Linked DNA regions of Cricetulus griseus. The protein of the gene in region 2 purifies or fractionates together with the protein of the main gene of each other region. This does not show direct contact. Links are inferred from orthologs where the notes say so. Each region holds a gene or a part of one and is shown on either strand. Other genes may lie near its edges.

Region 1 (15,813 bases), on a different chromosome or scaffold from region 2:
CCCCTAAAAAACTGGAATATCACGCACAGCCTGTGCTCTTCCAGTGAGGATAGTGTTCCCAGATGGCTTTGAAATGGACAGGTGTTCTCAGGTGTCAAGACCTGAGGCATCTGTTGTAACATACACAGGCAGGCAGACACACAAAGTTGACCAACATTACTGAAATTGAGTCTTGGTGGCAAATGCATGCCCTGTATCATAGTTTCCATTCTGTGCCTTCCCTAGTATGTGATCTAAGTCGAAGCTGGCTGGGAACACTCTTGTTTCTCATGGGCACCTTCCCTCCTTGCTGTCCCACTGTCCTGTTGTGTTTTACCCATCCATGCCTTTGGCAGTGCCTGTGCTGGAGGTTCATGTAGTGATGTTTTGCCTACCTTACTCCATGTTGCCCTTCCCAGTCAGCTCTATTGCCAGGCAGCAGGCACTTCCAGCTTCTGCCTCCACCCGACCTGAGTGACCAGGTTCTGTCCCCTGGCTTCCAGAACTGGGTAGGACTAGCTTAAGGACAGCTTTGCCACCAGAGAGGGCTGCTTGGGAGTAGAGCTGGCCTTGTACCCCACAGGGATCTGGGCCTAGAGATAGGAGGAGACCCTCTCTGTTGCTGCAGAATCCCTTCCCAGAGTACCTTTAAAGAGGATGGCGGATGCTGAAGGGTAGGAGGGATCTGGTCCTAGTTGAGAAGTGATGGCTATTCCCAGGAAGAGTTTTTGGTTGATTGTTTGAGACAGAGTCCCTGAGCCCCCTTGGCCCAGATAACTGTTGCTTTTGCTATTGGAGATGATGGTGGCCCATGGCCCATGCAGGGTGCAAACACTCCTTGCCTGAAGTCTGTCAGAGCTTCCAGCATTCTGACTTCAGGTCCTTTCCTTCTGCAGTGGCGCCTTAGCGCCCTCTGCTGGGAAAGTCTATCCTGGCACCTACTGAGGGGAGAATTGGGCCTGTGGCAGGTGCCTGGCACGGGCAGGACTGTGACTCAAGGACATTGTTGCTGCTTTATTGACAGGTTCTTCATTGTCTGTAGTGTTTCTCAAGTCTGGGAATATCCTGGAAGCCAGCACTGGGCACATGTGCTGGGAACTCACAGAGAGAGCATGTGAAAAAGTTTGTGAGCCTTCTGGAAGGAACTGTCCTCAAATACACTGGGTGCTGGGTCCTAAGGCCCCGATCTGCCTTGGATTGGTGGCCACATATGGCCTTTCTGGATGAGCTTCCAGAGCCTGGGTTGACAAGTGGTCTTGTCTCTTGGTTGTGTTGAAGGGTGTCATAGCCAGACTCTATCCTAGCCAGCCTGATGTTCAGCTAAACTGAGGGGTTGGCCCCTGTTAGGAACAGGGACCAGGGCTTTGGCTGCTCAGTGACTGACACACACTTCAGAGGCTGGGTTTTTGTGCTCACCTGTAATAACCTGAGTCTTTGGGCTATTGGCCCTGGCAAAATATGTTTGGATGTCATGGCCTCCATTTTCAGCATAGCCAGGCAGCACTTTCAGGTGAACCAAGTAATTGTTAGCTGTGCAGGGACTGGGAAAGAAGTTGGGTGGAATGCTGGAAAGCTAGCACCTGGCAAGCTTTCCTGATAGCTTTGCTAAAAGATCTATGTTGGGGCATGGTTGGGATAGCCTTAGATGTCAGGAAATGTAAATGTAAAGGAGAGAGTCCCAGGGAAGCTAGTAGACCCCTTTCTGCAGTTTCACAGCCCTGTACCCAATGCTGGCTGCTTTTACCTCCCAATTTGAGAACACTGTGGAGTCTGGGCTGAGCCAGAAGTCTGATGGGGTAGCCAACTACAGAGCTGTTCCTAGGTTCACACAGATGACTTGGGCTTGCCCCAACCTGGGATTATGAACTCAGTGAGTGAGTGTCTTGCTGTCCGGTTGATCTTCCGCAGCTGTGACTGGACAGGGCTAAGGTTGTAGGACACAGCTTCTCTCTCATGGAGCATCCTGGAGTCTGAGCTTTAGCTGGCCTTTGATGGCATTTTAACTTGTCTCTTGTGTTTGATTTTTAGTAAGACTTTGAACCCGACGCAGGCTTCAGTGGCTGCTGTGGAGCAGAAGCCTGAGAGCTTTGGTTGGAGAGAATAAGACGTGGGATGAGGCTCCGTGACAGAACGTGGTTCGGCCTGGGGATTCTGAAGACAAAAAGCTTTGGACAGGCGAATTCATGGTCGTGGAAACCCCGCCCCAATTAAGCAATGTCAGGTTGGTAGGGGTTGCCAAGTGAAGCCATCTCTGTGAGGGAACTACAGGAGGGACTTGGGCTGCACTGCCATAAGCTAGGCAGGCTGACCCATGCCTGAGGAATGTGCTTGGTGTTTGCAGGCTGCCTTGGCCAGTGGCCATCCAGCTACTGCGCTAGGGGTTGGTTTCTGTCAGAAAAAGTGTCCCAAGGGTATGGAGGTGGGTGCTGAGGTCAGGTCTTACCTGAAGGAGCTTGAGGGTCAGTTCTGAGGCTGTGCATGCCCCAATGCAGACCTGAGATCCTTGTTTCTTGTCTTTTCTGTCTTCTGCCTGGGAAAAGTTCTTAAGTAAGCTCAGCCCTGGGCTAGAGCTCCTGCATAGCATGGGTCCAGTTAGTAGATCTGTGTCTCCTGGATGGGTTTGTTTGGGAAGACCCTAGGGCTGGAGCAGCTCTGTGAATGAAGAGGTGGCCAAGCCCACCAGCTTTTAGAGGGCTTGGACTTTGGTCCTCCCATATGAATCTTTGGGTGTCATACCCATCATTTAGATGAAGATACAGGCTCAGACCCCAGCCTAGCCACACCCACATCCATAGGTCCTCTCTGAGGAGTTGTTTATAGGGCGAGAGAGTGGGGTTTCCACCCAGGCTGGGCAGGTCCTTGATGAGGTATAGGCCACTTCCCAGGCAATAGGTTCAGGCTGTGCTCTGAACCTATTGGACTTGCTTTGTAGCCTTAGAGGATTTGTGGACATGGGCATTGCTCACCACATTCTTATAGAATGTGGTGTTCAAGCCAGGGAATGAGAAAAGTAGATGTTTATCAACTCTTTTAAAATAGCAGTAAGTCTGTTACCTTCTATAAAAAGTAATACTTTTATGTGAGAAAAGCCACTTTGCAAGTCCGAGTTGGAGGACAAGTGGATTGTTGTTTTTCCACCTCTGCTGTCTGGTGACAGGGGTAGCTAGGGATGTGATCCATAGGGGTCAAGGAAGGAAGTATGCAAATGCCAAGCCTGTGACCTTGAAGTCTGGACCATCAAGTCTTCGTACCTTTACTTTTACAGTTTATGAAGGACTGGTGTGTCCTTCATATGTGTGTCTTCTCATAGTCACATTGACTCTGGGGAAGGGCTGTGTATAGCAACACCTCTGTTCCACAGCTGGAGTCCTTGTGCTTAGTGTTGTCTATCAGGCAGCTCCATTATGGGTGGTCACTGAGACCTGTGTCACAGTCCAGGTATCCAGTTCCAGACTGGAAGCACTCAGTGATTTTTCACCAGCCCTGTTAAACATAGGTGTGACAATCCAAAGGACATTGCTTTTCTGTGACATGTGTTCTCTGAGGCACTTACTTGGCACTGGCAGCTTGGGGCAGCCTCTGCACCTGGAGGCAAGAAAGGTGACTGTGAACTCTACTGCAGCTGTTGCACGGTTACCTTTGGCCTGCTCAGTGGGAGACTGTGGTGACTTGTTTCTTGCCTTTACCCCCCCCCCCCCACTGTGCCTACTCCATGGTCCATACTCCTGGCTAACTCTTTTGGAGGCCCTGGGGCTGGACAAGGTCCTGCCTGGTGTTGTCTGCTACTGTGGAGCTACCTTTGGTCTCCATGAGGTGTCTGCTGCCCTGCCCAAGGTGGCTATAGTACCTGGGACTACTGTGTTGGCTGTGTACTTGTGAAGCCCTTGGTACTGTACTTGGCCCCATGTGGGGTCTAGTTTTTTAGGGTGTCGTGTTAGGAGCAAGCTGATTTCATATCCATAAAGGCTTTTGTGGAGCTAGGAAACAGACCCAGACCTCACACTCACTGGGCAAGTGCTCTTTGGAGTTGCACTCCAGGCCTAAGGTTCTTTCTCACCTTGGTCTGGGAGGTGGGTTCTGAGAGTGTGGTAGCCCTTTTTTCCTGTCGCAGTTTTTTGGCCCTTGAAATCTACCACTAGGAATGATACCAGGTTGGGTCACATGCTAAAATCACTGTGGTCTCTCTGTGGGGTTCTGGGCAGTTACACAGTGGTTTTTAGGCAGCAAAGAGTGAACAGGCACTTTCCTGAATCATATTCTTTTGTGTCTGCACATTTTTGTGTTGACAAGATAGCTTACAGCTGTAGGATGCCAGGGCTGAGGTGCCTCCTACCTCCTCTGTACCCTTGTCCCCTATATCCCCACTAGGGTCTCCAAAGATTTCAGGTCCTGCGCCCTTGAGGTCTGAGTCCACTCAGTCATCAGTGAAATGTTGCAAACTCCTATTTCCTTCTTCCTGGTTTTAATTTGCTTTCTACAAAGCCTTGTGTAGCCAGAGGCTGAGTGCAGTAAGTTCTCAGGGCTGATTTCCCCAGCCCTAGTGGGTAATACAGTTCTCAGATCATAGACTAGAGCTGCTGAGGGCATTAAGTGGTCTGCTCCTTTCTTGCAGGCGTCCGACCTCCCATCATGAACGGGCCCTTGCACCCCCGGCCCCTGGTGGCGCTGCTGGATGGCCGGGACTGCACAGTGGAGATGCCTATCCTGAAGGATGTGGCCACAGTAGCCTTCTGTGATGCACAGTCCACACAGGAGATCCATGAGAAGGTAGTGTCTTAAGTTGGCCAAGTTTCATGGGGTACAGGGGGGCTCCAGAGCATGGGCCATGCAACCTCAGGCTGCAATCTCAGTCAGCACACAGCACTAGTCATGCTCCTTGGTCTCTGGCAACAGTAGGTCTAAATACCACAAGGTCTTGTATGGCCTGTCACTGTGCCTGGCCTTGTCAGGAGGTAAATATTTCTTACTCTGTATTTTCTTGGTTTCTTACATCACAGCCAGTTATTAGAAGAAGTGGAACTGTGGGCATCTGCCAGTGATTATGCTGGATGCTACCTGGAATATAGCAGGTCACAGTATCTTTACCCACAGTACCTACGGAGAGCTTGTTGTTGGGTGGTTAGCAGCTCTGAGCAGCTTCCGTGATTCATGTTTGCTCAGATCTGTTGGGTTCTTCCATGACCTGGAGTGTGCTCATCTGGTTTCTGGTTGTGTCATAGCCAATTCAGACTTTGCACTGGAGACAGCTTGAAAACATTCTTTACCACAAATCTAAAAAACCTTCAGGAGCTGACAAGGTAGAACCAGTCAGGGATTGCAACCATGAGCGACCTGGCATCTGCTCTTATGGACAGTCTGGTTGGGTAGCCTGGAGATTTGCTCCTCTGGGAGGAGTGGTGAGCTCTGGTCTTGGTGGCATCATGGCCTTGGAGGGTGAGCCTGTTGGCCCATTGCAGATGTTGCCTCAGACCCAGAGAGCAGTGAAACCCGTATCTGAATGTACCTTCACCTAGCCTATTACCCAGCCTTGTAAGTCTGCCAGGCATGGGATTTAGCATATAGTGGACCTATAGCCCTGCTCCCCAGGGGCTGTAGAGTCATCTGGGACAGTCATTCCAGCCTGGCCTCAGTATGTGTCTATAGTCTTTGGGCACTCACTCAGCTATAAGGAGGCAAGGCTCTGTGAGGAGAAGAGAGCTTCTCACCAGCAGGAACCCCAGTTTGACTGTGGGGTGGGCTGCCTTCAGGCAAGAAAGAGACAGTGCTATCTTGGGGTTCATGTAGCAGGTATGGGGGAGCAATACAAGACACAGAGCTGTACTATAGTAAAGCTAAAAGTGAGAATCACTCCTTTGGGCATAGTAAGTAGTAGGGAGGAAGGGATCAGAAGTCCTGATTCTTATGCCTTGTGGTGAGAGTGGGGAATGGGAGGAGCAAGGAGTGGGCAAGGTAATAGAATCCATAACTAAAGAGGGAAGGAACTAGATGCAAAAGCTGGAGACACTGTGGTGGAAGATTTCCCCAGACAATAGGAAACTGTGTTAGTGAAGGGCCTTGAGCCTGTGGCATGGCATGGCATGGCATGGACAGTAGTCAGTGGCACTCTGTATTGATATACAACCTTTCAGCATTCTAGCAGCCTTTGTAGCAGACATGACATGCACTATCATCATCATCTGTATTTGAAGGTATGGCAGCTTGATTCACAGTAGCCCAAATTGGGCAACCACCAGTACCCTTTGGTGATATGGCTGTGAAGATTGTATCCTGCCACAGATCCTGCCTGACTCAGGAAAGGGGTGACCTATAGGCACACAGCACCTTGGGTGTATGTCACCTTCCCCCTTTTTGCTGGCCGGCTGGAAATCTGATATGATGGCTGAAGCCTTGGGTAGGTACCTTGTACTATAAGAGGGAAGCCATATACTGGTAATGGTATAGCTACAAGGCAAGAGTCTAGTACCCAAATAACTATGAAGATGTAACTGAACGTGTGGGACACCTGTCTCTAGATGTGGGAAGTAAGTAACTGTCTTATATATTCTTGTTATGTGGGAATTTCCACCTTTTAGAGCAAGAAGTCCTCACAACTGGCTGAGTGTCACTGTCTACATTGCAGATGAGAATGTTACACTATCAATGAAGAACATGATGAAGAAAACTTCCCAGAGACCTTGGCTCTTCTGCCATGGACCCAGCAGGACTATGAGAGGGGATAGGAGACGCCCACTGGGTGTGGGAAAGTCACCTTGTAGCAGGAATCTCAAAGCACCCCTGGGCTGGGTGCTGTACAACTTCTCAGCCAAATGACCTTCAGCCCAGGGCTACATGGGCCCAGAAGGAATCCAGGGAGACACTGCTCCCAGCATGTGCTGAGTGAGGACTTAGGGCAGCAGGAAGTCCGCACTGGAGATGGGAGAATGATACTTCATGACCCATGGGTGCAGAACGTCCCAGGCCAGAGGAAGTCCCCTTGCAACTATGATGTATGAAAAACAAGTGGTCAGAAGTGTCTCATGTCACCAGCAGGCTGCTAAGGCACTGGCCTTGGGCTCAAGTTGCAGACACATCTGGAACCAGGACAAAGGTTGAGAGGAGAGGTTTCACTGTGAAGGAGTCCATTACCATGGGTCAACAGGTCCCCCTTTCAGAGTGTGCTGAGATTCTGAGACCCATTGTTAATGCCTTGATGGTGCAGAACAGGGGACCAAGGGATGTGTGTGGCCCTCAGGTGTATGGACAAAGTGCTGGTGAACTAAGTTACAGGTTGGAATGGTGTTCTGGTTGGATGGCAACAGTTAGAAGAGCAGGAGGAGGGTGCTTTTCTTACATATCTACACAGAGAAGACTTACACAGCTCTACAAAGGAATCTGTAGGCATGCTCAAATGACAGAGGAAAGTAAAAAGCGGGAAAATTCAGTGAGGTCAAGTGGGCACTGCCCTTTGTGCCCTGGCCCAAGGGTCCCATGTAAGACCTTCAGGCCCTCCCAGTCAGCAGGAAAAGGAAATCCTTACAGAAAGCTGGCCAGAGAAGCACTGCTTATGTAAACCACTTCAGCAAGCCCCTCTTTGGCACCTTGAAAACTCACAATTCACCACCAGGTGGCCAGGTAAACACTGGCCCAGCAGAAAGCCTGGATGCCGCTTCCTCTGTGGAGAACAGCTGCAAAGTCCCCCCGTGATTCTGAAGTTGGATAATGTGCAGAGGCTTCAGCCAGCATCTGCTCTGCTTGTATTTGACTGTCAGCAGAAAAGTATCAGGCATGATGGTGAGGTGGGAAGGGCTATAGTTTCACATGATAGCTGTTCCTATGCACACCAGGTGACAAAACCATCTAGTGTGGTTTGTATCGTCAGTGTTCTCTCAGAGAGAGGTTGGCACAGTGTTGTCCTGACAGGGAAACCTCACTGTGGTTTGGGGTGTGAGCCCCATTCAGAACTTGCTGCCACTGGGGACACTCATGGCCTATTACCAGCCAAGGGTAGCTGACATGCATTAGTCACTCATCGTATGCTATACCTGCTATGAACATCTGGGACCCATTTCTGTCCTTCCCATTCTGGTATTGAGGACACCAAGTGCACTAGGGCCAAATCATTAACATGATCATACGGTTGGTGTATGGGGACATGTGAGAGCTTGCTTGCAGAGGGTATTCTTGGTGGCCTATCATAAGGGGACAGGCCTAGTGGCACCTACCTTCAGCAGACTTCCTTGGAAATACTAAAGGGAATATAGGAGAGGTACAGGGGGTGTGGATCTGTGGCCAACAAACAAACAAACAAACAAAGACACCATGAAAAAAATTCATGGAGAAATATGGATGGGCAGGTTTTACCCAGGAAGGCAAATTCAAGCACCAGTAGTAGATGAACAGTAGACTGTGTTTTAGATATAGAAAGCTCAGTGGTGATATTAGAAAGTCAGTGGACAGTTAGACAACAGGGTCTAGAGCCTCAGAGGACCCTCCATTTCTAGGAAATTATCTCAAGGAAATAAACACACTGGCTTTTCTCATGGAAGAGTGATAGTCAGTGCAGTGGAAGGTCCAGATGCTTTGATGTCACCCTTCCCTGCTGGAACATTTGCAGGACATCGAAAACATGTTTTTGAAAGACATTACTCTCATGGCTAAGTGCTAAGGATAAGAAGTAAGCTGGCTGTCCACATATACACATATTGACATTCATCATAGACCTCCAGGGTATGGATCTGTCCTGTCCACAGCCAACCCTTTTCAAACACAGTGAGGGACCCGTGTCAGGTGTCAAATCTGTCCCTAACTATAGACTTATTCCAGTACTGCCCCAAGATCTGCATTTTTGGTCTGTACTGCTGTACCTGCCATGGGCCTCAGCCTCACCTGTCCTATGGAGCTGTCCAGGTCCTTCCTGTGCTCGTGATTGCCCATCTGAAGTCCATGTGGCACAAAGCTGTCAAGGACTTCCCTAAATCTCCCCTTATTTCCTGTGCTGTCTCAGCTGCCCATTCTCTATTTACTCTTTCCCACATGGGCTCTCCGTGACTCTCCACTGTCAAATGGGTACCTACTTTTCCACACAGGTCTAAGTAGTATATGTGGTCCTGATCCCCTCGAAGCCAAGGGCAGCCATCAGTTCTGGCCCTGAGCTTAAGTACCCTAGGGGCCACTCACTCCAGCATTTCAGAGGTCCTCATTTCAGCCTCTTAGCGTCTTCCCTCAGTGCCTGGCTTTTTCTTCCTCATGTAGTAGTCTAGATGGCCCCTAGACCCAAAATGAGTGGAAAGGCTACTATCTCCACCCTTGTGGGTCTTCATGACTGGTGAAGGCCATTCTCCCTCAGTGACAGTTGTCTACATTCTGAGTCATGCACCTGGCTATTGAGGTTGTGTAGCTGTAGCAAAGGGATACTGCACCAGCCTTTCCACATGGAGCAGCCTCCACCCCAGAACAATACCCTAGCTCTACAGCCAACCAGATCAGCAGGAAGTACAAGTATATAAGAGGATAGATAGCAGAGTTGTCTTGTTGCAGGGTGTGGTGCTCTCTTAGAGGCTGGCCCTGCCAACTCCCAGTTGACAAGTGCCTCTGGATATGCTTGTTCACTTGGGTCCTCTTTGTACTTTTCCACAGAGACTAGTGTGTACTGGGCCCCATTGTTTTGGGCATGGAGTCTGGTTGCTTGCAGGTGCTGCTGCTAGTTCTTGCCCTTGGACACTACCCACACCCTCTCTGCTGAGGCTCTACTGGTAGCATGCTGCTCTGTCTGAGACAGTTGAGAGAACACAGCTGCCTCTCCATTGTGTTTTAATATCTTCCATTGTGTTCCCTATGCCTCTCCTGCCTCTCTTTTCGAGGCAGGCCACTCAGAATTTTTGGGTACCTTTGGTGGGTCCTGGAAGCTTAGTAAGCAGCCTGTTTTCCCTCCATGCAGGTACTGAATGAGGCTGTGGGTGCTCTGATGTACCACACCATCACACTGACCAGAGAAGATCTGGAGAAGTTCAAAGCTCTCAGAATCATCGTCCGAATTGGCAGCGGGTTTGACAACATTGACATCAAGTCAGCTGGGGATCTAGGTAGGAGCTCTGAAGTCCCTGTTTCCATTGACCAAGATGTCTCACTTAACCTTCAGGCTCTATTAGACAATCAGTAGAGCTGGGACTGCTCCTTGAATGGAAAGGTGATTTGGGCCTATGGGTAGGGCAGGTTGTGCCAGGCAGCACAGGATGTGGGTACAGCTTCACTCATTGTGTTGTCACCAACCTACCAGGCCCTAGGGTTTGGTTGAGACAAGGGGCCAGTCGGGGAGATCATTGCCCTCCTCCTAAGATAACAGCAAAGGGAATGTGTGCTAAAGCCATGCATACATACACATGAAGCAACAAGTGCTCAGACTGTACACACATGAGCACAAATCTGTACCTGTGCATGTATTTATATTGAAACAGCATAGTCATACTTTACCATTCTAGGGTAGCCTGTTTTCTGTGCTAGTAGCCTGCTGACAAAGCCAGGCTACACTCTACAGTGTATGTTGTTGACGTCATTCTGCTACTCTGCTCCTTAAGGCTACAGAGAGAGGCTAGAGCTGACCTGTCTGGGAACCACAGGGCAGCTGAGCACTTCAGTAGTGTGTTGGGAAAGTCAGTCTTGTTCTGTTGGTTCATGCTGCCCTGGCAAGCCACAGGGGCCAAAGCCTTGGTGGCTGACCTGTCCCTCCCTGGGCAAGGCCCTACCATTTGGAATGATCAAGGCAGCATTTGCCTGTCCTCTGTCCTGTTTGCTTGTTAGCTGCCACATCTGTGTTCTGCAAGGCTGTGGGTACAGGCTTAAGTATGCCTAATGACATGTAGTCTCCTAGGTGGCTGTGGGACGTGTCCTCTGACATATTACTACTGTAGCACCACCCTGAGGGTAGGACCTCTGACTGTGGATGACAGGAGGCTATGGACCTGGTACATGTGTCGCCACATATCTTGTAGGCATCGCAGTATGCAATGTGCCCGCAGCATCTGTGGAAGAGACGGCAGACTCCACCCTGTGCCACATCCTGAACCTATACCGACGAACCACCTGGCTGCATCAGGCACTTCGGGAAGGCACTCGGGTCCAGAGTGTAGAGCAGATCCGAGAGGTGGCTTCAGGAGCTGCCAGGATCCGTGGAGAGACCTTGGGCATCATTGGACTAGGTACGTTGGCCACTGTGACTCAGCACAGATAGCCTGTGCCCATCTGCTACCCTTCCACTCCATAAAGCTGAGGCCATGGACTTGCTGGTTGTGTTGCTGTCCCCAGCTCAGCATAAGATATAGGATAAGTAGTCCAGGGGCAGGGCCAGAGACACCAGGCTATGTGTCTTACAGATGCCATCAATGGAGGTCACGTAAGAGTACAAATGAACATCATACATGGATGGTAACATGCATCACATGGGGATTAAACAGACATGGTGTACACATGGACACACTTAGATATATGCACAGTCTATACAAATGTTGTTGCATACACACTCACTCCCCACAGCTCTGGTGCAGTTGAGTGGGCATGACCTCGAGGCCCGTTTCTACCTTGCTTAGGTTATCATTGGTTCCTATGCTCCCTGGCTTGTTCTCACAGCCATCACCTTTTTGTGGGTACCCATCTGTTATGCGTACCATAGAGATGGCACAGTAAATTGTGCTAGAGTTCACCTTTGAGGGCTCCCTTGTTACCAGGCAGCCTACCCTTTGCTGACCCTGGCTGCATTGTGCTTCTGCCTTAGCCCTGCTGCCAGCAGCAAGAGATGGGAAGTGTGTGTAGGTCACCTTAGTTACAGGAAGAGGTGGGCCTGGGATATGGTTGTTGCTGTACTAGTGGACATGCATAGCAGGGCTGTTTGACCCTCCATGGTTCTGAATGTGCCCTTCCTGTCCAGTGTATAGGACAAGACAGCACCTCCTACCTCAGGGTCCTAGTGCCAAGACGTGTTGAAGGATGGAAGAAAGATAAGCATGGGTGGAATAAGGCATAAAGGGTATTGCTGGGCAGGTCTGGGTGGTCAGAGCATCTCCACCCTCAGATCTTGCCCTCGGGCAGTTTGTTTGGTCTCCATCTGCCTCTGCTTTCATCACTAGTGTTTAGGGCCTGAGTCGTGTCCTTTTTGTACCCTCTCTTGCAATGCCAGTTTGTCCAGTATACCATGTAGCTGCCACTACCTATTGGCCTGCTGTTCCTTCTGCTGTGTCAAGCTGTTTACTGTAGCCATCCCAAAGCTCCCTAGGGCTCAGGATACACGGATGGTGACATATATCCAATGTGGATGATGTAGATGACACAGACATGATTATACATGTAAACATACTTGTGTGTGAGTGTACAGTCTATACAAGCAAGGAGGGTGAATTTTGTCCCCTCGGGACACAGCAAGGGCTCCTGAGTTGTCACACCTACCTTGAGGACCCCCTATTCATATGTAATTGCTGTCTACCAACTACAGTACAGGTCTGAGGCTGGTTTCCACACACTCTGGAAGGGAGATGGGCACGTGTCCCAGTGTCCCTGTATCTCCTGCTCTTCTCTTCTGCTACCTGTTGAGGCTGTCTCCTGTGTGGAATATGGTGATTAGTTCTTGGTTCATCAGTGAGGCCACATAGGCAGTGTGGGCTGTAAGTTTTGGTTCTGTAATGGATGTGCCAGCTACTTTCCCTGGCTATTGGACTCTACACCCATAATGCCTGCCTGCCTTCTTTTCCTCTTATAACTGAAACATACTCTGCTTCTTTCATGAGAGTATAGAATGTATTTCTGTCTGAGACAGCCCTGTACTGTTTCCAGCAAGCCCTCTCTGCCTGTGGTCTTTGTGCTCTGTCTGGCACAGCTTGCTAGGTTCATCAGTCCTGGTGAAATGGAACCACAGGGCAGGGACCCTGGGTCTGTGCTCCTTCAACAGACATAAGGTTTCAGGTCTTCTCCACATACCTGTCTTGCTCGGAAGTTCTTCATGTTGAACAGGATTCTATTGATCTGTTTAGCCACTGGACAGATGAAGCTGCTGTAAACAAGTGTAGACATGCCTCTTTGTGACATGTGACACTGTTTTTCTTTAATTTAACCAGAAGTGGAGTGACTTGACAGAGCAGGCAGGAACCACCAAGGCATTCTTCAAGCAGGTGTGTGTCTTTGACACTTCTTAGCTGGGTACCTGCCCTAAGAGTTTGGACTTTGCTGACACTTAATTAATGTCAGCATTAGTGCTGCCCCTTACGTTTTCATCTGCACCTTTCCAATAGCTGAAGTGTCTGAGTGCCTTTCTTGCCGGAATGCCTGGCCCTTAGAGAACTTGTGCCTGTGTTGTGAAGCATGGTGCCTGTTGTGTTCTCTTTGGTTTGTCCTGGTGTGCATCTGCAAGATTCCATCTGTGTTCTGCCTCAGGGTCTCATCAGACAAGCATATTGACACCGTGGTACCCACTTAGTAACTGTGATGAGGACAGATTCTGGTTCTGAAGAAATCCAGCTTATTACTTGTAAGTTGTTACCATTTCTGTTCTAAGTAGTCTCTGCCTTCTCTAGTGCTATGCAGATACTGCTTTCTTCTGGAAGCTTCATAGTTTTGATTTTTACAGGTCTCAGACCACCTGGAATCATACGCCTTACCCAGTGCTATGAGTGTATTATTCCAGAAATGTAGGCAAACATGTTTGTGTCTTTCCACAGTAACAATAAATTCACAGGGCTCAGTGGTTGTAGTGGCAGCAATTTGTTAGATAATTTTGCCTCCCCAGTAATCTGGCCAAGGTGAATGCAGGATTTATTGTTTGTTTGTTTTTTGAGACAGGATTTCTTTGTGTAACAGTCCTGGAAATTGTTTTGTAGACCAGGCTGGTCTTGAACTCACAGAGATCCACCTGCTTCTGCCTCCTTAGTGCTGGGATTAAAGGCATGAGGCACAACTGCCCAGCTTGTTACTCCTAACGACTTAATTTTAATTGGACCCATTCAGACTTAGAAATAAAAGCTCCCAGCAAGGACATCCTTCGTCTCTTGGCAGTCTGTTCCTTATGGTGATATATTGTTAATGATCTAATAAAGTCACTGGAGATCAGAATGCAGAGCCAGCCACACTGCTTAGCTATAGAAACTGGGCAGTGGTGGCACACAACTTTAATCCCAGGACTCAGGAGACAGAGACAGATGAATCTCTCTGAGGTCAAGGCCACCCAGGGTTACAGTAGAGTAAATCAGTCTAAAAGATTAACAGAGCTCACGCCTTTAATCCCAGCACTAGAAAGTATATAAGGAGCTCAGTGCAGTCTCAGAGAGCAGTCTAGGATTCTGAGGTTTGGTGTAGAGCAGTGCAGTCTGGAGATGTAGTCTGAGGTTCAGTGGATCACCCCTTTGGTCTGAGCATTGGTAGTGGCTTTCTAGTGGCTGACTGCTTTGCTTCTCTGATCTTCAGCTTGAACCCCAATATCTCTGGGCTTTTATTATTCATGTTACAAATTAGCACCCAACGTGGGGCTTGAACCCACAATCCTGAGATTAAAGAGTCTCATGCTCTACTGACTGAGCTAGCCAGGCTTCAGAGGCTTTGGAGGGAAATGCACAGGATTGCCCCCTCAGTCTGAGCTAGAGGTAAGAACTGTGGCTGGCTGTTTATCTGATCTTCAGCTTGAGCCCCAATATTGGTCTGTGCGTTTTTATTATTCATACTACAGTTCCTGGTGTTTTCTTTGGCTTCTTTCATTCTTTTGGCCAAAAGTTTCACATATTCTGCAGCCTCCTCATTTTTTTTAGAGCTTTGTTTCTTTAGAGCTGTGTGTTGGTGTTTGTGTTGCAGAACACATGGAGTAACAAGATGCTGAATCTTGGGGGCTGGTTATGGTCCTGGGCTGCTTATCTTCTTTGTTTCTTTGCTCTCTGAAAGTATATTGACAGATGTCTTAGTTACTTTTCTATTGCTGTGACCAAGGCAAATTATAAAATAAAGTATTTAATTTGGAGGCTCATGGTTCTAGAAAGTTGAGTCCATGACCATCATGGTGGGGAGCATGGTAACAGGCAGGCAGGCAGGCATAGTGCTGGAAAAGTAGCCGAGAGCTTACATCTGATCCACAGTCACAAGGCAGAGAGAGAGAGAGAGTAATTCTGAGTATGATGTAGCTGGGAGTGGTGTGGGGTTTTGAAACCTCAAAACCCACCCTCAGTGACACACTTTCTCCAACAAGGCCGCAAACAGTTCTACAAACTGGGGACCAAGCATTCAAATATATGAGCCTATGGGAGCCACTCTCATTCAAACCACCACAGCAGACATCATTTTACTTAGATTGAAAAGTTTTAGATTTTGCTAGCTCTTTTGGTCCCTAACTACCACGTTGTACCTGTCAGTCTGGAAATAGCCTCCCTCCCTCCCTTCTTCCCTCCTTCCCTTCCTCCCTCCCCCTCTCTCTTTCTCTTTAAACAATAGCCCAATTGAGAACACTTAGATTAGCATCCACAATGCAAAGTTGATCAAAATTGTGTTTCCTCTCTCCAGTTCTCTTTGGTCTATAACAAGAATGCCTTTACTTAATAGAAGACACACTTTGCTGTGGGTCAGAAGACCTTGCTTTGTGGAAAAACCTTGTTTGTCATTCATTTCTTTCTTTCTTTCTTTCTTTTTTTTTTTGGTAGTGGTTTTTCAAGACAGTGTTTCTTTGTGTAACAGCCCTAGATGTACAGGAACTTGCTCTGTAGTCCAGGTTGGTCTTGAACTCACAGATGTCTGCCTACCTCTGCCTCCAAATGCTGGTATTAAAGGCATACACCACCACACCAGGCCATGTCATTCATTTCTGATAGCTCCACTTTAGAATTAGCTCATCAGTTT
Region 2 (16,426 bases):
AGGTGTTAGGAATCAAATCCGGTATACTTTAAAACTTTTAAACTTTTTAATTACTGAACCATCTCTCCAGCCCTTGTTTGTTTTGAGACAAGATTTCACCCAATAGTTGTATTGGGCCCAAAAGTTTCAATGAGTATCCCTAGACTCACACTTGTGATACTTCTGCTACCAAAGCACTAGAATTATAGATGTGTCATTAGGATTTTTTTTTTCCAGCTTGTACCAATCCAGTGCTTGGAAACAGTCACTACATCCCTTCTGCTGTATGCATCCCCTCTACTCAGTCTCTAACACCCACCTCTGTTCCCCATGGTGGCATATATGAGCCATAAGATTCAGAACCCCAGCTTAGATGCACCCTACTACCTAGCAGACTCCAACCACCCTGTGTGCTCAGTTTGTGTGCATTAGCACCTCACTTTTTTTTTTTTTTTAATGTTATGTTAGGCAAGTGTTCTATACTCAGCTACATCCCTAGCTCTCCACTTCATTTCCCAATCACAGTATACACCCCACATCTGACTTGAGGTCTAGGTGTACACTCTGGTCTCTTGGTCTGAGAAGGTTTGTACAACTCTCTATTCTGACCCATCTTGCCATGACCTAGCTAACATCTTCATAAAAATGACAGGCTAAAGACAGAAGTTAGTGGCACATTTAATCCCAGGACTCAGGAAACAGAGGCAGGCAGATCTCTAAATGAGGCCAGCCTGCCTACTGGCCTACAGATTAAGTTCCAGGACAGAAAAACATTGTCTTGAAGAAAAAAAGAAGAAGGAGAAAAGGAGGAGGAGGAGGAGGAGGAGGAGGAGGAGGAGGAGGAAGAGGAGGAGGAGGAGGAGGAGAAAGAAAGAAAGAATAACATCAGGCATGGTGGTATGTATTTCCAGCACCAAAAATACTAAAGGGGCGGTTAAGAGCACTGACTGCTCCTCCAGAGGTCCTGAGTTCAATTCCCGGCAACCACATGGTGGCTCACAACCACCACGAGATCTGGTACCCTCTGCTGGCATGCAGGCAGAAGACTGTATACATAATAAATAAATAAAATCTTTAAAAAAAAAAGAAGAAATTTAAAAAGTGTATTGGCCTGAGGATTCAGGACTGCTAGCTTCATTAAAAAAAAAAAAATACTAAATAAGAGTAGGAAGGACTGGAGAGTCAGCTCAGTGATTAAGAGAACGTACTATTCTTGTCAACGACCCAGATATGATTCCCAGCACCTACAAGGCAGCTCACAACCAACTCCAGCCCCAGGGAACCCAACACCCTCTCCTAACTTTTGTAAGCACCTGCCACAAGGGTGATATACATACATACATGCAGACAAAATATTCAGACACATAAATTTGGAGGGGGGGTGGTCCGAGACAGGGTTTCTCTGTAGCTTTGGAAAAGCCTGTCCTGAAACTTGATCTATAGACCAGGCTGGCCTCAAACTCAGAAAATCCACCCTGCTATTGATCCCAGGTTGCTGCTGGTTAATATCATCAAATTCACATTTCCAGGGGTTATCACTGTAGCTCCAGATCAGCCTGGGTTACGTGAGACTGATCCTGTGTTATGAGTGACTGTCCTTTGAGCCAAGCAATCACCATCTTGGGGCATTCAGCTGTGTCTCCTTACAAAAAAAATCATCACAAGTATATCTGTGGATGGCTTACATCCCCGAAAAGGAGGTAGAGAGGCATACCATATTCTCACACACTCTGCCTTAATTGAATCTGGCCAGGGGAATTGAGTATATATACATGTGGGAGGAGAGCAAAGCAGGTCTCCATCTAAACAACCATTCAAAAGCCTTCTTCACTGCTGGGTAAAGGCTCTCCTGTTATAGCCTGTTAGTGTAAAGAACACCCACACCCCTTAAGTCATCCCTTACCAATAAACTCAAAGGTTCCCCAGAGTGAACAATGGCAGAAACATGTTTCAGTTGACTGCTAAGATGTCTCCTCATGTGTTGGGGGCACAAAGGTCCTTGTGCCCAGAGCACTAGGGAACCAGGAATGCTAAACACACAGGGCACTCTTCTCAAAGGAGAAACTACCTATTTTCCACCCAGAAGGCTGAGTGGATATTGTTAACACCTTGGAGGCAGACCTCACTTACCCTTTGTTATAGAGGCAGACTATAGCTCTTGCCATTTGCTCTATGTTGCTTCACTGGCTATAGTCTTAAGTGTGTATGTTTTTACATTTCCTTCTCCTAGAGACACCTGGTATTTCCTATCTTTGTATATAGTTTTGTATCAAGCCTAAATCTTTTTCTTTAGACAAGAGGAATTGTAGTGAGATATCCACCCCACTCACACCCAAACCTCGTGGTCACAAGTGCAGTCATGAGGGAGAGTGGTTTTAGGTATGGGGTTGGGGCACAGGTGGCTCTCTTCCATTCGGGTCACAGAGTAACCTGTGTAGATCCTTGGAGCAGGAACTTGCGGTGGTCATCTGTTTCCTGTGTAAGTGCCTTCTCCCAGAATAAAATTATATTAACCTATATTGAGCTTAGTCCAGTGAATCTTGATCGATCCACGCTTCTATAGCAGACCTCACCGGAAACAACCTCAGAATGCTTATCCCAGTCTCTCCCTCCATAGACCTTTAGCTTTGTTTCTTGGTCAATAGGATCCATCCTTAAGGGAGATGTCACCTGTACTTTATGGCTGTTGACTTTTACGCTATTTAGGTTAGAGACCACTAGATTCTAGTCCCTTTAGCTATAGAACCCACCCACTCACATGCACTTTGTAATGGAGTTTCTAAGTAGTGACACATTAAGCTTTATTGTGTACCTAGAATTGGAATGATTGTTGCCTGGAAACTTTTTCCCAAACTGTACTGTATTTTAAATATGCTGACAAGGAAGCATCTGGAAGACTCCCAAAGTCTGATCCAGGTTGACGAAGTCAATCTGACCTGAGTTTTTATTCTTACCTCTTCATAGTTTGCTTCCCTGCCTGAATACCAGCATCGTCCCCTTCACTCGTGGAAAGGAATTTAACAATACCCTGTCTCACAAAAATGTAATGCAATACAACAAAAAGTCAGGTGTAGCCGGGCGGTGGTGGCACACGCCTTTAATCCCAGCACTTGTGAGAGTTCGAGACCTGCCTGGTCTACTAGAGCTAGTTCCAGGACAGCCTCCAAAGTCACAGAGAAACACTGTCTCAAAAAAACCAAAAGTCGGGTGTAGTGTACATGCCTGTAACCCCAGCACTCAGGAGGTAGAGGCAGAAGGATTACTACATATTTAAGGATAAATTGTTCTGAATAGCAAGGTCTATGCTAGGCAGGGCTATACAATAAAACTGTCTCAACATCAGCACTAACAACAACAACAAAAAAAAAATCCTCAATATGACTTACAAGCTAAATTATTTTAAAGCAAAGACAAACTCCATAAAATATGGCCAAACAAATTATTGTGACAGAGGCAGAAGCAGGAAACTAGTGTGCTAGCCTCCACTCTAGCTCAACTAAACTACCTAAAGATGTCCTATGATGTCAGGGCTGAATGAAGCATTATTTCTGCTGGTCTGTTAAGCCAATATGCACTCCAATCACAAAGTATACAATCAATCTCGGTCTCTCTGTCTCTCTCTCTCCTCTCCATCTCTCCTCCACCCAGAGAAGCAGCCCTGTACACAGTAACTATTCAGATGAGAATCCACTAACAAGATTTATAGTTATAACCAGTCACACAGTGACTTTAATCCAAGCACTTGGGGGCAGAAGCAGCTTGCCTTGTTCTATACAAGTTCCAGGAAAGTCAGGGCTACATGGGAAGATATGTCTCAAAAAGAAAAAGAAAAAAATTCACATTTAAAATAAATGCTTCTGACCTTCCACCTCCTCTTATCAAAAACAAACAAAAAAAAAAACAGGAAAAAAATAAAACCTGACATGTCTATCTAGGAGACATGTAAAAACCTGACAAAAACTTGAATAGGGAGTTAAAGTAAAGCTAACTCACTACATGACACAGAAAAGGAGAAATTTAAATAAGGGGATGATTAGTAATAAGCAAACTGACTGATGCAGACAGACAGAGAAAGGTACAGAGAACAGTGATAGTCAAAGTGGAATACAAACAAGCAAATCACATTCTAGAGTCACCGGAGACTAGAAGTTGGACCCTACAGAATGCTCCAGGAACAAAGCTTGCAGGATAGCTCACTATGTACAGATGCTTGCTGCCAAGACTGACAACCTGAGTTAAATTCCCAAAGCATCCCGAAAGTTCTTCTTGACCTATACCCAAGTACAGCATAGCAAAATTAAAAAATACTTTTTAAAAACTTCCAAAAACACACCACACTTGAGGACAGGCAAGCATAAAAAGGGGTAGGAATGAACTATTCCACTGGAAATAAGGAAAGCCAAAAAAAGACTACATGTGCTCAGGTGGATCTCTTGAGTTTGAGGCTAGCCTGGTCTACATAGTGAATTCCAGGACAGCTAAGGCTACACAGAGAAACCTTCTCTAAAAAAAAAAAAAAAAAAAAAAAAGATCAACTTTACAATCCTCCTCCATCATCCTCCCAAGCAGCTGAAATTGGCTTGACTTAAAATACATTCAACTTTATCAACTCTGGAAAAAAAAAAAAAAAACACACAATTGTACATATAAGAAGGTATAAGAAGGGGGCTGGAGAGATGGCTCAGAGGTTAAGATCACTGGCTGTTCTTCCAGAGGTCCTGAGTTCAATTCCCAGCAACCACATGGTGGCTCACAACCATCAGTTATGAGATCTGGTACCCTCTTCTGGTGTGCAGATACACATGGAAGCAGAATGTTGTATACATAATAAATAAATAAATAAATAAATAAATAAATAAAATCTTAAAAAAAAAAGAAGGTACAAGAATGTTCACTACAGGGCTAGTGAGGTAGTTCAGCAGGTAAAAGCACTTTACCACCAAGACTGATAAACGAGTTTGATAGCCAGAACCCACAAGGTAGAAGAACCATGTTTAGCAAATTGTTCTCTGATCTCTCACACACTCACACATGCATCCACACATAAATAAATGTAAAATAAAAAAAATTAAGGACATTCATAATAGCATTATTAGGAAAGATAAAACATAAATTATAATCAGTTTAAAGCCCTGCATTTGTGCTCTTACATACTGTTACATATGTAAGGGAGAAACACAACTGTGTTAAAGCAAAAAGAAATATTAAAGGCATTGGTGGCGCACGCCTTTAATCCCAGTAACTCGCAGGCAGATCTGGTCTAGAGAACAAGTTTCAAGACAACCAAGCCTACGCAAAGGAAACCCTGTCTTCAAAAACAATAAATAAATAAATAACGATGAAACAAACAAAACAACAAAAAACAAAGAAGGAAAGAAAGAGATATTAACACATGAGAAAAAAACAGGTGCTGGGGAGATAGCTCAAAGGTTAAGAGCACTTGCTGCTCCTGCAAAGGACCTGAGTTTGGGTCCCAGCACCCACACTAGGCAGCTCACAATCAACTAACTGCCTGTAGCTCCAGCTCCAGATCTGATGCCCTCTTCAGACCTTCCAGAGACTTGCATTTGAATGCAAAGACCAGATATTGAGTTCACAAACACACCTCTCCCTCCCTCCCCTCCCCTCTCTCCCCCTCTTTCTCCCCCTCTCTGTAAATCTTTTAACAGAACAAACCAGGTGTGGTAGCTCATCCTTGAATCCCAACACTCAGGAAGCAAGAGCCAGGTGGATTTCTGTGAGTTCAAGGACAACTAGGTCTACATAGAGTAAGGTTACCTTTTTTTTTTTTTTTTTTTTTTTTTGGTTTTTCAAGACAGGGTTTCTCTGTGTAGCTTTGGAGCCTATCCTGGCACTCGATCTGAAGACCAGGCTGGCCTCGAACTTACAGAGACCCGTTTGCCTCTGCCAACTGCTGGATTAAAGGCATGCACTACTACCGGCAAGTAAGGTTACTCTAAAAAAAAAAAAAAAAAAAAAAAAAAAACAGGCCAGGCGGTGGTGGCATACGCCTTTAATCCCAGCCCTCAGAAGACAGAGGCAGGCAGATCTCTGTGAATTCAAGGCTAGCCTAGTCTACAAACTAGGATAGCCAGGCCTGTTACAGAGAAACCCTGTCTTGAACAAAACAAAAAACTGTTTTTAGTAAAAAAAAACACTGGAGCCAAGAATGATGACAAGCACCTTTGGTACCAACAGCTCAGTGGTAGAGTTCTTGCTTTAGCATTCGTGACATTTTGTTAAGACAAAAGGTTTGTGAACCATAGAGGTCTCAAGTCCTCACTAATCCTGAACATACATTTAAGTCCTAGGTACCTGGGTGGTGGTGGCCCACACCTTTGATACTGGTGCTTAGGAGGCAGAGGTAGGCAAATCGCTGAGTTCAAGGCCAGCCTGCTCTACACAGCAAGTTCCAGAATAGCCAAGGCTACACAAAGAAATCCTGTCTGGAAAAATCAAAAAAAATAAATAAATAAAAAGAAACCCACAAAAACCTAATGTCAATTCTTTACCAAGCAATGGTAGTGCACACCTTTAATCCCAGCACTTGGGAGGCAGAGGCAGGTGGATCTCTGAGTTCAAGGACATCCTGATCTACAAAGAGAGTTCCAGCACAGCCAGGGCTGTTACTCAAAGAAACCATGTCTCAGAGGAAAAAAATAAATAAAAACAAATAATCCCTGGCACCATACCATGCCCCACACACACACCAAATCCTTCATAACCGACTTCCAAGCAGGAATTCATGCTTACCCAAACATATTCTTCAAGAGTGACAGTAGTAAAGTTCTACAAGGTTCATAGCCATTGACCCTTTTTTTCTTGAGACAGCATCCCCTGGAACCCACACTTGTCGTGAACTTGCTACATTACTGAGGATGACCTAAAGCTTCTACTCTTCCTGCCTCTACCTACCTACCACTGACATTACAGGAATTCACTACCACACCCAGTTTAATCTAGCCCAGCACCCTATCAATTCATCGACATCCTCAGCCCCATCATCATTTACTTAAGCAGCTACCAGAATAAAGCAGAGCACTCTCAAGAGCAAGGAAGGTAGGCTAAACTCCAAAGACAATGCTGCACACCAGTTCAAGATAATGTCCATTCTAACTAGCAGGTGACCACAGACTGAAAGAATTAAATTCCTCATCTTCTGTTACTGGCAATACACAGATAATCCCCTATAGCTGGTTGAGTAAAGACATAACAACAGCATTCAGAAACATGAAGTAAACACTAAAGAACTAAAAATTGCTACTGCCTTTGTAGAAAACCAAAGTTTCCAATAATGTCTCTTAGCCCTGACTTTTAAAATTATACATGCATATACTACTCTAAAAAACAACAACAAAAAAAATTGTTTTGGGGGGTGTTAGTGTTTGGGATTTTTTTCTGTAGAACTCACAGTTCTGGAACTCCCTCTATAGACCAGGAAGGCCTTGAACTCAGAAATTTGCCTACCCTCCCCAGTGCTAGGACTAAAGGCACACCCCACCACACCTGGCTGTTTTGTTTTTTGGGTTTTTTTTTTTTTTTTTTTGAGACAAAGTCTAACAAAGTATCCCAGGCTAACCTAATTTATGATCTTCAGCCTCCATGTGCTAAAATCACAGGTATGCATGTCTTAAATTAAAACTTAAGACTGAAGGAACAACAAAGCTAGATATGGTAATATACACCTGTGACCCAAGGAGGATCAGAAGTTCAAGGTCAATATTAGGAGCATAGCAAGTCAGAGGTCCGCCTCATATACATGAAGAGACCCTGTCTCCAAAAAAAAAAAAAGGAGATAGAGATACAGGTAGGCATGGTAAATAATATACCAATACACTGTCATGAGTTCCAAGCTAGTCACATCAAGGCTCAGTCTCAAAAAAAAAAAAAAAAAAAAAAAGGTAACACTGGGACTGGAGAGATGACCCCACAGTCAGAGCACTTGTTGCTGTTCCAGAAGACCAGGGTTCAACTCCCAGCATCTACTTGATGGGTTCACAACCACCCTAACTCCAGTTTCAGGGGCTGCACTGCCTCCACAGGTACCAGACATGTGAACATAAATGAAAGTAAAAACTCCATACACATAAAATTAAATAATTTTTTAATCTTAATAATAAGATACATATTAGCCACTCTGCTAAGTACAGATTTTGTTTGGGAATTTGCTCCTGCTGCAAGATAATGTTTTTGCTAAGACAAAACCCTATGTATCACACTCTGATTCTGTTATCAGGACATACATTTTAAACCCAAAAAGTGCAGGAGCCCACATTAATATTAAAAATGGAGAATAGGGGATATATTAATAAACCTCTCCAAGACCTCAGTAGTACACAAACACACAGTTAGATCTAAGTTCCAAGTGTCAGTGCTGATGGGTTAATCATCCCACAATTAATGAACCCTAACCAGTAAATATTTAAAAATTCAGTGAGGATGAGCCCAAACCTACCCTATTCCACAGGACCAACAGGATAAAAGACAAGTGTCCCTCACCCTACCATGTGCCTCCATGATAAACACTTAAAATCATAAATCCAAAGACAGGTGTAACACATAGCTATCGAACATGGGCTCTGTAGTCACAGATCTGTTATCTTCAACTAAAGCACACCCTCTGTAATCCTGGGGCTAAGTGCCTGTGGCTTCGTCTGCAAAAAGGATACCAGAGAACCTACTTGGTAAAATGAAATCACTGTCATTTTTATATGCCACATAATGCACAGGAGTCCTACAGTGGGGCTGGGACGAGGTACAGGCTCAACAAACACACACTCTATGTAAGCTGCCTGTGAAATCAGAGATAACTGGAGGCCACTGACACTTCCACCTTGGGGGATGGGAGGTTTATAGCTCAGGCTAGCTTTGAACATGCAATCCTCATGCCTCAGTCTCCCAAGTGCTAAGATAACAAGTATGCACTACCACTCAGTTTCCTCCATCAATTAGTAACACCAATTATGTGCCTGATATTGAAAAATGGGGCTGGAAAGACGGTTCAGCAGTTAGGAGAACCGGCGGCTCTTCAGAGGTCCTGAGTTCAATTCCCAGCATACTGGCACACAAGCATCTGTAATGGTTTCTGATGCCCTCCTCTGTCATGCAGGCACGCATGCAAAAAGAACAGTCATATACACATAAATTATTGTGTAAAAAGGAAGAAAAATGGCCAGGCCTACAATTGACCAGGCAAAGTTACTTACCCCTGCAAGGTCTTATTTTCCTCATCTGCTAATAGGAAATAACAGTACCCGCTGCACAGGTCATTAAAAAAAATGAATGAGGTAACTTCTCTGATGGGCTTAAACAATGCCTGGGACACATCAAGTGCTCAATAAAAGATGAGAATCATTCCTTCCTTACAAGCCTGGAAATGACTTAGGGTCATCTCTTACACACTTGTGTTCCTGGTGCCTGTCAGTTCTTGAACGTTGTTAAGTACTCAACAAATCCTCCTTGCATTAGAACTGAAAACTCGCCGTTCACTTATATGAATACCACTCAAAAAGGCAAGAGAAAAGAAATTCAATGACCATACATTATCTGGGGTAAAATGTACTGCTGAGCCTATGCACCGCACCACACATGTGCCAGCTTCTCACCACACCTTCACTTTCTGAGGTCTGCAAGTCCCAAAAGCTAACTGTTCCCGCGGCTAATTTCGGAAGAAAACTGTTATGTTTACACTTTCTTCCAAACCGGCCGCGTACTTCGGCCCTGAGAACACAACACTAGTGCATTCTGCGGACCCCGACTCCTTGCCGGCCTCTCAGCTTGGGGAAGACAGCGGTCCCTCTCGCCGGGGCATAACGTTTACGCCACAAAAAAACCAGGAAGCAAACTATCCCGCAGAAAGAGCAGAGGGAAGGCCACCACGCGAACAAAAGAACGCTAACTCGCCGTCCCCCGCCGCTTTAATGCCATCGGTGAAGAAATAAACTTGGGTCCGCAGACATTCCTCTGTCGAGCGTGCTGCCCGTGGTCACCCTGCTGCTGCGGCTTTGTGCGCGGGAGACGAGCGGGACTAACCAACTTTTCCTTAAAGATGGTGCCACGCTCTCGGCGGCGAGTGAAAGGTCACGGCGCGGGGCAGCAGGCGCAGGCCGGCCTCAGCTCCCCACGCACAAGTTGGCCCGCTCGACTTTGCCTTTTGTCTCCGCCACCCCCGCTCCGACCCGCCCGCAGTCAAGCTCGCGGCTGCGGGATGCGGGGCCACGGCCTCCTATCGCCCCCGCGCTGCTGCCGCCGCAGCCGCCGCCGCCGCCGCCGCCGCCGCTGCTCGGGCCCGCCGCGCACAAAGCGCGCCGGCGGAGCGCGGGCCGGACGCTGGGGCCTCGGCGCTGCCTAGCCCGAGACGGCGGAGGCGCGCGGCCCCACCCAGATCGCAGCACGCCCGGGTTCCTGCCCTCTCGCCTCCGCTGTTGCCATCATGATCGCGGCCCGCGCCCCGGCGCCGAACGCCGGCCCCGCGCCTCACCTCAGCATCCGCGGCGGCCATGGCCCGGGCCCCGCAGCGTGGCCCCGCCCCTCCCGCGCGCCATCGCCCCCGCCCGCGCCTCGCGGCCTAGGACCGGGGCGGGGCTGGCCGGCCAGTCGTGCGCCTGCGTGAGCACCCGCGGCTGCGCACCCAGACCCGGCCGTGCGGCGCCTGCGTCTGGAGGAGAGGCCAGGTGGCGCCTGCGCGCTGAAATTCAACCTGGGCTCCTGGCGCTGAGACTTCTTCACCGAGGTTTCCGTTTCCCGTTTCCTAGGTTTCGCTCCCTTCCATTTACCTGCGGTCCAAAAGTATTACTTAGAAAGTTCTAGAAATAAGCTAGTCCTAGGTTTCCGGTTAGGCGTCATTCTTGAGACAGCTTGGTTCTGCAAGGTTGTCGATTTTGTCCCGCGCGCGTCAACACGTGACTGGCTTGTTGACTGTCACTAGCCAGCTGGGTTTCCACACTGACTTTTAACTTAGGTCCCGACAGCCCTTATTCTATTTAATAGATGTCACCTTTCCAAAATGCTACAGAAGCATAAAGCGCTTCCTTTAAGTGAAAAGGCAGGAGATTTCCGTAAGAGTCTTAACGCTAAGGTAGCCAAAATAACAACAACGATAAGAACTCACCTTCCATGAAACTGTGAAAGAAACTGTGCTAGTTCTGTTTAACAAAAGTTAAAGCCACAGGGCATAGGCGCTAATATGGAAAAGGAGTTAGATTTGCAGATAAAGAGACATGGGCGTGGTGGTACACGCCTTTAATCTCAGCTCTCTGGAGGCAGAAGCAGGCGGATTTCTGTTAAGTTCGAGGTCAGCCTAGTCTACAAAGCGAGCTTCATGACACAGAAACACCCTGTCTCAAAAGAATATGTAAATTCATGTGTATCTGTACGTATCTATATGAAATATGTATTCCAGTGAGGAACATATATTATGCCAGAAAAAGTGCTGAGGCTATATGAAAACTTCTGAAAGGGGGAACCTAAAATAAAGAGGAGACACCAAGCCATTTTATTGCAAATGAGAGATGGCTATACAGATTCAGAGATGGGTCTGGACTAGAGAGTAAATAAATATGTACATATATTATTAATATTATATGTGGAGAGAATAGAGAATTTCTATATAGTGGAAAGGTTGTTTCTACATTTGAATGTGCTACCACATCTCAAGCAGACTTGGAAAAAGGGGATTAAGGTGAAAGTGCTAGAGAATTTAAGCCATCTAAGGAAGATAAACTGCAGCAGAGGCAAAAATGGATACACGAGTAAAAGTTGGCTGAAATATTTCAAACTTCAAAGATTAATTAAGGGTAAAATTATAGTGTGTGTTCCTAAGATGGAACACAGTAGTAAAGTCACCAGCACAGCCAAACATGGAGGCACACACCTCTAATCCCAGCACTAGAACCCTGTGCTACATGCAAAGAACTTGATTCCTAAAAGAAAGACAAATGGTATAAGTCCAAGACTTATTTAATTCCAAGACTTCACCTGCTAGGCAAGCATTTGATCACTGAACTACAATCCCAAAGCTTTTCTTTTTCTTTTCTTTCCTGTGAGACAGGATCTAGGTTGCCCAGGCTAGCCCTGAGTCTAATCAATCTTTGAACCTGCTCTCCTTCTAACTCAGCCTCCCTTGTTCCTGAGATGACAGGCCTCACCACTAGAGGCTGATTTAAATGTGTATTATTTGGGGTTTTTGTTTGTCTTATTTATTTGGTTGGTTTCTTGAGAGTTTCTTGAGAAAGAGTAATAACCCTGGCTGTCCTGTAACTCACGCTGTAGACCAGGCTAACCTCAAACTCACAGAGATCCACCTGCCTCTGCCTCTGGAGTGCTGGAATTAAAGGTTTGTTTTATTTATTTATTTATTTTAATTTGGTTTTTCAAGACAGGGTTTCTCTGTGGCTTAGAGGCTGTCCTGGAACTAGCTCTTGTAGACCAGGTTGGTCTCGGACTCACAGAGATCCAGTTGCCTCTGCCTCCCGAGTGCTGGCACTAAAGGTGTGCTCCACCACCACTTGGCCAGTTTTATTATTTTTTAATAGTATGACTTTGTTAAATGATTTTTATTTTTATGTGCATTGGTGTTTTGCCTGCGTGTGTGTGTGTGTGTGTGTGTGTGTGTGTGTGTGTGTGTGTGTGTGTTTGAGAGTTGTAGGATCCCCTGAAACTGGAGTTATGGACAGGTGTGAGCTGCCATGTGTTAGGAATTGAACCAGGGTCCTCTGGAAGAGCATTCAGTGTTCTTAACCACTAAGCCGTCTCTCCAGCCTTTGTTTTCTTCTTTTTTAGGATTTATTTTTATGTGCATTGATGTTTTACCTGCATTTGTGTTTGGGTGAGGGTGTCAGGTCCCCTGAAGTGGAGTTACAGACAGTTGTGAGCTGCCATGTGAGTGCTGGGAACTGAACCCATATCCTCGGGAAGAGCAGCCAATGCTCTTAACCAGTGAGCCATCTCTCCAGCTCCTAATGTATAGTGTAGCCCAAGCTGTCCTCAAACTCCTGCTTCTGCCTCCTTCAACAAATCCTACTGGCAAGCGCCACACAACTAGCTTGTTTTATTCTTGAAGCGAGGTCTCACTGCATAGCATGGATGGCCTCAAGCTTCCAGTGTTTCTCCTACCTCTGCTTCCTGAAGAGTAGGATTACAGGTATGGTCCACTACACCTAGCCTGGATAAAAAAAATTTTATAAAGTTAAAATTTTACCTGTACAGTAACTAAAAGGCAATTTTCTTTTTGCATGTATGACTGCAGGCCAAAAGAGGGCTCCAGATCTCCTTATAGGATGTTTATAAGTCACCATGTGGTTGCTGGGAATTGAACTCAGGATCTCTGAAAGAACAGCCAGTGCTCTTAATCTCTGAGTCTTCTCTCCAGTCCTTAAAGATGATTTTCTGCTACAACACTTTGATGAATTAAAAAGTAAAGAATTTTGGTGGCACATGCCTTTAATCCCAGCACTGGAGAGGCAGAGGCAGGCGGTTCAAGACCAGCCTGGTCTACAAGAGCTAGTTCCAGGACAGCCTCCAAAGCCACAGAGAAACCCTGTCTCGAAAAACAAAAACACAAACAAACAAACAAAAAAAGTAAAGACAGAAGACTTCCAGTTGCAATGTTTGTTTTAAAAAGAAGGGGGGAGGGGATTCTTCTGTTATTGAGAATCCTTAGCCATTTATATCATCGTCAAATCTTAGATGTTATGACTCACCAACTGATTTTCCTGACATATTGCCAATCAACTAGTAACCTGTGTTGTAATGCCTACACCATTTATCTCACTTCAACTCTTCATACAGTCATTGTATCACCTCAGATCACCATAAAAGGGTGAGCACACAACAGTAAGATGATTTGAAATCAGACTGCATTCATGAAACTTTGTTACAGTAGTCTCAGAATTGATCTACTGTTAGTAGTGTTACTAAATTCTTTTTATGTCATGTTTATAAACTTTATCATATGTATAAATAACAATAAAATATATACAGAACACCATGCTATGTGCAGATTGGGGCATCCACAGGGGAGTCTTTGCAGCTAAGGAGATGCTACTGTATCTTCTAAATTAGAAGAACAATTTAGGCTAATCAGAGGAGCCTTTGAGTCTTTTGTTTTTCAAGACAGGGTTTTTCTATTTAGCCCTGGGTGTTCTGGAACTCCCTCTGTAGATCAGGTGGCCTCATAAACTCAGAGCTCTCTCTGCCTCTGCCTCCTGAGTGATGGGACTAAAGGCATACTGCCACAATCATCAGCAAAGGCTGAGTCTTAACCTCCTATCACAGACACGTTTTTATTTCCTTGATTTTTCCAGAAACCAGACATTCTGAGCTGTATCCTGGAAGACACCTCAACAAGGAACCTCAGGAAGGGTTTCTCTGCTTATGAGGTGGAGTGCTGGTAAAGGATGGCACTCTATCTTGAAGAAAAGTCCTGGACGGAAAGTGTCCCCAGTTAGGAGGAATGTCCCAGTTTCGAGAAGGAATTCTAGTTAAGGGCATGTCCTAACTTTGTAGGAAATATTCTGCTTCAGAAAGATGTTTCTACAAGTTTGAGAGGGTACACAGGGGAGATTGCCATGTTGGGAGGATGCTCCAACTGAAGGGAAGTAACTTCCTGAATAGGACGTCTGCTCCCACAAGAGGGGGCTATTCCAACATGGAGGAATGCACCAGATGGCAAGCCCTCCACTCCCCACCCCCAGCAATCAGGAGACAAATGGATGCTCTGGTTAGGAGGGTATGTCTGGCTGGGACCTGTGCATCAGTTAGGAAGTGTGCTCACCCTGGTTACCCAAAGTTCTGCTAGACACAAGCTTCCTGTGTACGGGGCCAAATAATCATTACTAGACTAAAAACCTAGTGCCACACGAACTATCTTAGGCCACCTCATCTCCATAAACAATTCTGTCTTTCCCATCTGAGACGTCAAAAAAGAAGCAAAAGTGAGGTTTCATCGGCAAAAAATAATGAAGTCTTGAGTTTTGACAACCAGCCTAGACTCAGTATCACAGACTGAAAAATGGTTCTGCTAAGTTGACCACTGTGTTCATACACATACAGAGGAGAAAATGGACAGTACCCAGTGAGTACCGAGGATTCTTTAGGACAGCTGAGTTAAGGCTATTTATGATGAACGGAGCCCTTGTGGAGGTCATGGGAAACAGTCATGCACAGTCCTCTGTAACCATGGCCCAAACAGAGCCGTCTTCCCCAATCCACCTCTCCATCTCACCTTTTCCCCAAGACCTTTGTTTCAGATAACTGCAGCATAGCTTGCTTCTTTCCTAGCCTTTGTGCCTTAAATATAGCTGCCTCAGAAAAGCCTTACCTGCTCTCCTCACTTCTCATCTTTTATTCTGGATGTATTTTTCTCTGCAGCCTCTCCCCTCCATGTTATCTCTTATTTATTTTGGGTGTTACCTTTTGTTTTGTTAGAGTCTCATCATGTAGACCAAGCTGGCCGCAAACTCACAGAGATCTATCTACCTCTGCCCCCAAGTGCTATAATTAAAGATGCTCACCACCTTGCCAGGCTCCCTATACTCTTACATGACATACGGTGTATGACCACTGTTTTGTGTGTCATAGTGCTCACAACAATACCCTCCAGCAAATAAAACAAGAAAACCAACAACAACAAAACAAATATTGAAGAGGTTGAAACATAGGAGTAAACCTTTTACCAGACAAATAAGATGTGACTGACCTGTTAGAAGGCTACAGACCCTTCCACACCCAATTTGCAGTTAGCCATAATCACACTACAACTTAGTGACCATTGACTACCTATCTAGTGGCTCCTGCTCTAGGCAGGTGGGGTATGTCTGAGGGACAAGCCTGCTTCCCATTCCCATTTTCAAAGTGAGTGAACCAAAGTAAGGGAGTTGAGTGTATGCCCCCAGCCTGAGACAAGGTGGGATTCAAACGCAAGCTCTTCTTTCAACTGTAGGCCACACCGCTTCCAGAAGGTGTTTAAGAGATCTGTGGCCTACTTTCTGCCTTTCTCCAAGACCTACCTGTCCCACAGTATCAAATGTTAGCCAGGTATGTGGCTGCCCAGTGAAAGACCATGTTGCAAGGAGTAGACAATAACATGTTCCTAAAGACATTGGGGTGCAGACCTAGTTGGTTAAGTGATGTGAAATTTGGGGATACTGGCTGAGCACTGCCAGTATCCTGCGTTCTAGTACACCTTGTTTCCCGAAAGTCTGTGAGCTTGTTGTTGGTTACACTGGAAAGGTGGCCACCATGCCTAACAAAGCCGCTCTCTCCCATCAGAACTGAAACTTAACCAACTCCACAGTAACCACTTCCAGTGCAAACATTACATGTAAAGGACAACAGACCAGTGCTTGTTACCAGAGATGTTAAGGAGTATGAAGGCAACTATAGGGTGCCTCTGAAATGCTGCTCCAAGGAGCCTTTGTCTTTCATTCTTGCTCTAGGGACCAAGTTC

Evidence for each region.
Region 1: the proteins of Ehmt1 (region 2) and Ctbp1 purify together in Homo sapiens (affinity purification with mass spectrometry; 3 studies listed by BioGRID and IntAct, counting the BioPlex papers as one, with this or other methods). This does not show direct contact. The link is inferred for Cricetulus griseus from reciprocal best matches to the Homo sapiens genes EHMT1 and CTBP1.

What each region holds. Positions count from the first base shown.
Region 1 is NW_023276807.1:102,300,922-102,316,734, reverse strand, and holds part of Ctbp1 (C-terminal-binding protein 1), read left to right. Parts: intron 1-2,007; exon of another isoform or gene 2,008-2,193; coding exon of another isoform or gene 2,194-2,200; intron 2,201-4,591; coding exon 4,592-4,746; intron 4,747-6,598; exon of another isoform or gene 6,599-7,677; coding exon of another isoform or gene 7,678-7,749; intron 7,750-9,895; coding exon 9,896-10,040; intron 10,041-10,946; coding exon 10,947-11,153; intron 11,154-15,813. UniProt on the Homo sapiens protein: Corepressor targeting diverse transcription regulators such as GLIS2 or BCL6. Has dehydrogenase activity. Involved in controlling the equilibrium between tubular and stacked structures in the Golgi complex.
Region 2 is NC_048599.1:136,260,578-136,277,003, forward strand, and holds the start of Ehmt1 (histone-lysine N-methyltransferase EHMT1), read right to left. Parts: upstream 10,522-16,426; 5' UTR 10,481-10,521; coding exon 10,460-10,480; intron 1-10,459. UniProt on the Homo sapiens protein: Histone methyltransferase that specifically mono- and dimethylates 'Lys-9' of histone H3 (H3K9me1 and H3K9me2, respectively) in euchromatin.